Xenopus tropicalis: one gene and its partner. The protein of the gene in region 1 interacts with the protein of each later gene in a pairwise test. Links are inferred from orthologs where the notes say so. Each region holds a gene or a part of one and is shown on either strand. Other genes may lie near its edges.

Region 1 (3,757 bases):
CACGCGGCAGCGCGATTTCCCGAAATCGCCGAAAAAGACTGAAATCGCACTGCCGCGTGTGCCATCCCGCCCGCGACTTAATCTCCCCGTGTGCCAGAGCCCTAAAGGCATTTTGGATAGATTAGTCTCCTCTGTAATCAGAGATTTATCGCAGGCGTCTAATCTCTGAGTGGGACTTTAGCCTATGGGCAGTGGTACAGGGGAGATGTGTCGCTGCGATAAATCTTCCCTAGCGACTAACGACTAATCACCCCAAAATGCCATCCCACCCACACGTAGGATGGCATACGTGTAGGAAATCGAACCTACTCTATATCTGGTCCATGGGTGGTAAAGGAATTACCAGCATACAACTTCCTTCACCCTTTGTTGTGACTGTTGGGAGAAAACTTGGAATCCAATAACAACAGACATACGTTCCTGCACTTATGCTGACTAAGAGACTATAGTGCCCCTTTGGGGGATAAACACTTACTTGGCCCTTTTGCTGTGCTACTGAATGCACTATTGCTGAGCTGCTGATAATAACATGGGAGTTCCTATATGTATAACCTTGGTAAAAGCTAGAGGGATCACATGACAGATGGAACCAATAAATCTGACAACTGTGCTGGAGAGGATGCTGGGTGCCGTAGTTTACAGACACATGTGCAAGACAAGGGTAACCCTCTGCCCCCACAGCTTCTCACCGCAGGGGCTCTTCTCAGCATCCCCGCCGCGAACATCCCAATTCCGTACACTTCCGGTGCCCGACCTTCTCTACCGGAACCTGGTCCCTGACGCGAACATCTTGCGGGTCACGGTGTAAGTCACAATTCCGTACACTTCCGGTGCCCGACCTTCTCTACCGGAACCTGGTCCCTGACGCGAACATCTTGCGGGTCACGGTGTAAGTCACAATTCCGTACACTTCCGGTGCCCGACCTTCTCTACCGGAACCTGGTCCCTGACGCGAACATCTTGCGGGTCACGGTGTAAGTCACAATTCCGTACACTTCCGGTGCCCGACCTTCTCTACCGGAAGTGGGTCCCTGACGCGCATCTGAGGCGGCGGAAGTTCCGGTTTGCGCGGGAGTCTGGGAGCAGAGCATATTCCGGAGAGCGGAGGACTATCAGTGGGGGAAGAACAGTGTGGCTGAACGGAACCGGAGCAACCAAAACGGACGCGGAGACAAAGTTGGGGCAGTGGGGAGGGGGGGAAGTGCTATCCGAACTGAGCATCCTCGCTCGGGGGGATCCGGGCCGGGGATGGCGGACGGGGCCGATCTGATTGATATTTACGCCGAGGAGGAGTTCATCCAGGTGGGGGAGACCCGGAGCGGCCCAAAGAGAAATGTACATATATTTATCTCTGTCGTGTCCGTATGTACGCACGTTGGCTGCTGCTTTGGCTACAGGGCTGGACAGATCCCCGCAATCAGCCGTGGGCCCTTCCCCCCAGTGCAGGGTTCTATGTATTTCTATTCCCAGCCTGGTATATAGTGTGTTATGCACCTCAGTATATATATATATATAAAGCCCATTGTCCATCCCTCCCCCTCTGGCTGTGATATATTGATATGCAGTCCCCTGGCTCCTATATATTATGTCTCTCTGTTTATCTCTCTTATCATTAAAATCAATCTGTTTCTCCAACCTTGTCTTGCCTGGCTTTAAATAGCTTTGTTTGTTTAAAGGGGAACTCCACCACAAGTCTATTCAATAATGAAACAAACTGTGATGCTAAGCAGCTTTCCCATTTACATTAATCAACCCTGTTCTATGTTTTTTTTTAAAGTTATCTGCTAATATTATTATAATTGAAAACAAGAGTCTTGTCTTTTTAAATGCTCTGCATTGCTGTTTGGACTCTTTATAATAAATATAGCAGGAGCCAGCTGATTAACAGACCGGGTGGAGAACTTTTCAGAAACAGGGGCAGACTGCAAAAATCTATATACACAACTATAAAGCCAACATTTATAATGACTTTATACTGAAAAGTTTATTTTTTTTAAGAATTATCTTTCTCTTTGTAAAAAATGGTGGAGTTCCCCTTTAAAGGAACAGTAACACCAAAAAATGAAAGTGTATAAAAGTAACTAAAATATAATGTGCTGCTGCCCTGCACTGGTAAAAGTTGTGTGTTTACTTCAGAAAGTCTACTATAATTTATATCAATAAGCTGCTGTGTAACCATGGAGGCAGCCATTCAAAGGAGAAAAGGCACAGGCACATAGCAGATAACAGATAAAACACTATTGTATTCTACGGAGCTTATCTGTTATCTGCTATGTAACCTGTGCCTTTTCTCCTTTTTTCCAGCTTGAATGGTTGCCCCCATGGCTACACAGCAGCTTATTATATAAATTATAGTAGTGTTACTGCAGCAAACACCCCAGTTTTACCAGTGCAGGGCAACAGTGCATTATATTTTTATTACTTTAAAGCTCTTTCATTTTTTGGTGTTACTGTTCCTTTAATATGTATTTAGACCCATGCCGTGCATGTAACCCTTGATTTATTTTTGTCTGAAAACCCTTTATTACAGCTAAGTGTATGGTATTAATAGTAACATATCAAAGCTGTTCCCTTAATTTAGAGCTATTTATATAGTACTCCCCAATGGGATTATACATATTACTGTGCATTGTCATGGCTGACTCGCGCCTTTTGCGCAGCTCTGTGCCTCTGGGTGAGGGATGGATACAGCTGCAAAGTTCTTTTCAGGTCTAGTAACTCATGGTAGCCAATCAGCATGCAGCAACTACTGCTTCACCGCTTGAAAGTGAATCTATGGTTGCTATGGGTTACTAGACCTGAACAAACTTTGCACCTGCAGTTATCTGATGTTTGCCTGTTTGATCACTAGGGGCTTCTCTGGGATCAGTCAAAAATAATGCTTTGTTTTGTCTTGTAGTGATTTGTTTGGAAGGCTTTAACAGCTAACAAAAACAATTTTTTGTTGGATCTACTTTGAGGGGATTCCTGTATTTTAGCTAAATGCAGCCTTAAAGTTATCTATCAGATATGGAATGAGCAGTGGTTCAGCTTTGGGCTTAAGACATTAATATTTAGTACCATGTCCAGACCCTCTGTCCCATACAGAATAAATACTCCATTAAATGGGTAGTGTACCTTTAACATAACATTTTTTTTTTTTATAGAATATCCAATTCTTATCAAGTTTTCGAATGGCCTTCAGTTTTATAGTTTTTTTAATTATTTGTCATCATCTTCTGTCCCTTTCAGCCTTTGAATTGGGTGTCACTGACCCCAGTAGCCAAAAAATATATATTTCAGATCATTGTTCAAACCACTGCCTGGTTGTTAAGGTAACTAGATAGCTGCTGAAATTCAAAACTGTAGAGCCAACCAACAAAAAGTTTAATTAAACAATCACTAAAAATAAGATATGAAGACTAATTGCTAATTTTCTTAGAATATCACCATCTACACTATGCTGAAAGTTAATTTTAAAAGTGTACTACCCCTATCATCTTGCAGTGTCTTATGAAAGCCACTTTGATTACTAAGGAAAATTAAACCTTAGCTACAAGATAGGTGCTGAAATTCCTAACTGAAGAGCTTCTGAATGAAAAGCTAAGAAATTAATAAAAAATATATAGTATCATATAATTGGTATTTTAACTTCATTTATAGATGAACAAGCCCATTCAAATTTCATGTATCTCTATGTAATTGTAACATGAGCCCCGTATTGGTGGATTGCAGTAAAGTCTCCAAAAAAAGCATGATGGGAACCCAATTAAAGTAC
Region 2 (3,757 bases), on another chromosome or scaffold:
AGCGTAGGTGGTTTTTCACGGTGAGGGCAGTGAGGTTGTGGAATGCCCTTCCTAGAGATGTGGTAATGGCAGATTCTGTTAATGCCTTTAAGAGGGGCCTGGATGAGTTCTTGAACAAGCAGAATATCCAAGGCTATTGTGATACTAATATCTACAGTTAGTATTAGTGGTTGTATATATAGTTTATGTATGTGAGTATATAGATTGGTAGGTGTGGGTTGTGTGTGCTGGGTTTACTTGGATGGGTTGAACTTGATGGACTCTGGTCTTTTTTCAACTCTATGTAACTATGTAACCTGTGCCTTTTCTCTTTTTTTCCAGGTAGAATGGCTGCCCCCATGGCTACACAGCAGCTTATTTATATAAGCTATAGTACCATTACTTTAGCAAATACACAACTTGACCTGTGCAGGGTAACAGTACATTATAGTTTAAATACTTTAATACACTTTCATTTTTGGCATTACTGTTCCTTCAAGAGAGAACTAAAGACTACCTCTTGGAGAACCAGAGCCGTCTCTCGCTATATCCCAATAGCACTTGATATTTCCCTAATGCTCACTGTGGATGTTCAGTAAGCATTCTGCAATATCACACATATGGGCCCATTTATGAATGTACAAATTTAGATTGTGTTAAAATACGATTTGCGAAAATTCGTATACTTAACGATAATTTCTGATGTGTGGAAATGTTCAGAATGTGGTATAGATCGTGGTACGATCCAAAAGTTACGAAATTTTCATATCCAAACAATCGTAAATGGCGCGAAAATCTTTGTGTGACTTTGAACCTTCAGTGCATGTTTTTGGAAGCCACCCATAGGAATCAATGGCACTCTGCAGCTCCAACCTGGCCAAAGGAACGTCACGATACCGAAGCTTGAATGAATTACGAAACTTTCGTACAAATTATCACAAAGTACGAACAAGTCACAGAAATAAACGAAAATATCGTAGAAAATACGCAGAGTTCTAAAAGTTTGAAAAAATACCATTTTTTTGTAATCGTAAACCATCGTACATTGATAAATGGGCCCCATATTGTGTGTATTTGCAATGACATCAAATAGCACACGCACAGGTTATTAGCAGTGCACTGCAATAGTTCCCCAGTAGACAATCTCCTGGGGTTGAAAGCTCTGGAGCACATGCATAAACTGGGAACTGGTAGTGAATACAAGGTACAGTTGCTTTTAAGGGCACCTTAACAATATAGGGGTGATAGGTGCCCTTTAAAGCAACTGTACCTTGTATTAATTTCTATTTATTATTATACTTTGTACCAACGGATAAACCATCATATCTAATTTATGATAGCTTTCACCCTGACCACACTAAACACTCCATAATCTACAGCCAGGCTCTACGATATAATCGAATATGTTCTGATGCTACTGAAAGGGACCACCACCTAAGAACACTCATGGCAGATTTCATTAACAGGGGCTACAACCCAAGGATTGTGGATCAATATATCCATACAGCCACCAGGATTCCCAGAAGTCAACTTCTACAATACAAACAAAAAACAGAAATAAATTGAATTCCTCTAGTTGTCACATACGATCCCCAACAAAAGACCCTCAGAAAAATAGCCAAGGATCTACAGTGTACACCTCAAAAGGATGAGAGGCTCCAAAACATATTCCCAGACCCACCACTTCTGGCATTCAGGCAGCCCCCAAACCTAAAACAACTAATAACAAGAAGTGCCTTAATTCAACCCAACAAAAAAGGAACTTATCCCTGTGGCAAAAAAACAATGCAAAACCTGCCCACACATCTGTAATTCAGATTTCAGACACATTAGAGGAATACAACATCCATGGTCAGTACAACTGTTCTTCTTCCAATATGGTGTACTTAATACAGTGCACTAGATACTGAACAGGAGGACTGTATATAGGAGAGACTGGTCAAAGCCTGAGAAAAAGAAATACACACCACCGTTTTACTATAAGAACGCGATTTCTGATGGTGGCCCTGGTTCTATCAATTAGATGCTCTGCTGTACAGTGCTTCGTACATAAGTACTGTAATGCTTATACCATGTGGGGTTGATTCTCAGCACATGAAAAACCACAGGCCAAGAATCAGTTCCTTGGGCATCAGCCTCCTACTTTTCCAGGTCAAACCACTGCGTTGGCCCAGGTGCAAGCATACAATATGAATATCCACTCTAAAATGCTAAATTTACAGTTTCTTTGCTGATATCTGCCATGTGTGCCTGCACCCAGGCCAGCCCAATAGTTTCTGGTGCAGGCAAGGTAGGAGGCTGTCAGCGGAGGGACTGATTATCTGCATGCGGGTTTCCATGCGGCATCAGCCGTATATAAATAAGAATATAAATAGTTTATATAAACAAGCTTCTATGCAGCCATGGAGGAAGCACTTCAAGATAAAAAAAGGAGAAAGGCACAGGATACACAGCAGATACCAGATTAACACGAATATACCACCACTGCATTTTATTACAGAGCATATATGTTATATGATATCCAAACCTGTGCCTTTTCTCCTTTTCAACTTAAATGGCTGCAAGACTTCTAGTTCTGCTTTTGCTTTGCAAAAATTGCTCTTCTCGTGTTATCAGTTTTTGGGAGCTGGACTTAAATGTAGAAATTTAGAATTTCGAGTTAAGTTTTTCAACGCAATTTCCACTACCCACCTTTAGTTCACACCGTTTCATTCAAGTTACAAATGGAACTGTCGCAGATTTCTAGGGCGCCCATTAAAGACGTCATCACCGGGCGGAAACGTGCGCAATAAGATGTAATGTAGGTGAATGCGAGGCTAGGGCAAACGCGTGGTGATCATTCTGCTTAGGCAGCGGTACTGGCGTCTGGAGGATGAAGTGGTTGATGCGAAGTTTGAGCTAATCTGTTAGCAGCAATGTTGCTATTTTGCCCGACGTGTGGGAATGTGCTGATCGTGGAGGAGGGACAGAAGTGCTACAGGTTTGCCTGTAATACCTGCCCTTATGTGCACAACGTTAATCGCAAGGTATAATGAGGTCTTCTGAAGTGATAGAAATATGGTTTTAAGCGGCGTAAGTGTAGTCCTGGTGGCTACGAAGCCTTTTTATGCCTTGTGTATGCCAAGCATTGCTAATTGGCAGATAACATTACATTAGCAACAGTACAATGCGCTGATTTTTAAGTGCGGGATGAATCTGTATAAATTGCTAACAACATATTCTGGTAATGGCTGGGGCTTTTAGCTCTAAATTGTGTAAGTTTAATAGACTTACAAAGTTAAAAAGGTGATCTTATCATTTATGTTTTATGATAAATACTAAATAAAATGCATAGTAAATAGATACACCTGCTACCCCCACCCCCCAAAATGAACATTTGAATATACGCATATGACCTGTGATTTTTTTTTTTGTCTGATTTTTGCTAGTTTGTGGCCAAGGTCTTGCTTTTCTTCCTTTTTGGCTATTACCCTTCTGGGAACAAATCATCATAGAAGGGCACACTTTTAACCCTAAATTCACAATACCCAGAACACCACAGCACAATCACTTCCCCTGTGGAAGTGCATTACCTTGCTAAAGCACACTAATATCATAAATATATATTATAAAATGTGTCCTAACACTTTCATAAATAATATCTAAATAAATACATTTGAATATATATTAATACATAGGGAGTTCTGACCGCTAGATACTTATTTGACAAACTTTAAGGGGAAATACTGTAACCCTATCTTCACCACTTCTGGCACCTTTGACAGTGTTACACTCCACG

What was found.
Region 2: the proteins of cpsf7 (region 1) and snrnp25 interact in binary tests that used the Homo sapiens proteins (3 or more experiments, as listed by UniProt). The two-hybrid records come from large-scale screens. The link is inferred for Xenopus tropicalis from reciprocal best matches to the Homo sapiens genes CPSF7 and SNRNP25.

The regions. Positions count from the first base shown.
Region 1 is NC_030680.2:22,867,072-22,870,828, forward strand, and holds the start of cpsf7 (cleavage and polyadenylation specificity factor subunit 7), read left to right. Parts: upstream 1-1,094; 5' UTR 1,095-1,248; coding exon 1,249-1,302; coding exon of another isoform or gene 1,303-1,335; intron 1,336-3,757. Other genes in the region: sdhaf2 (succinate dehydrogenase assembly factor 2, mitochondrial), read right to left, coding at 690-725.
Region 2 is NC_030685.2:40,339,540-40,343,296, forward strand, and holds the start of snrnp25 (U11/U12 small nuclear ribonucleoprotein 25 kDa protein), read right to left. Parts: upstream 2,697-3,757; 5' UTR 2,692-2,696; coding exon of another isoform or gene 2,671-2,691; intron 2,614-2,670; exon of another isoform or gene 2,507-2,613; intron 1-2,506. Other genes in the region: polr3k (DNA-directed RNA polymerase III subunit RPC10), read left to right, coding at 2,895-3,005.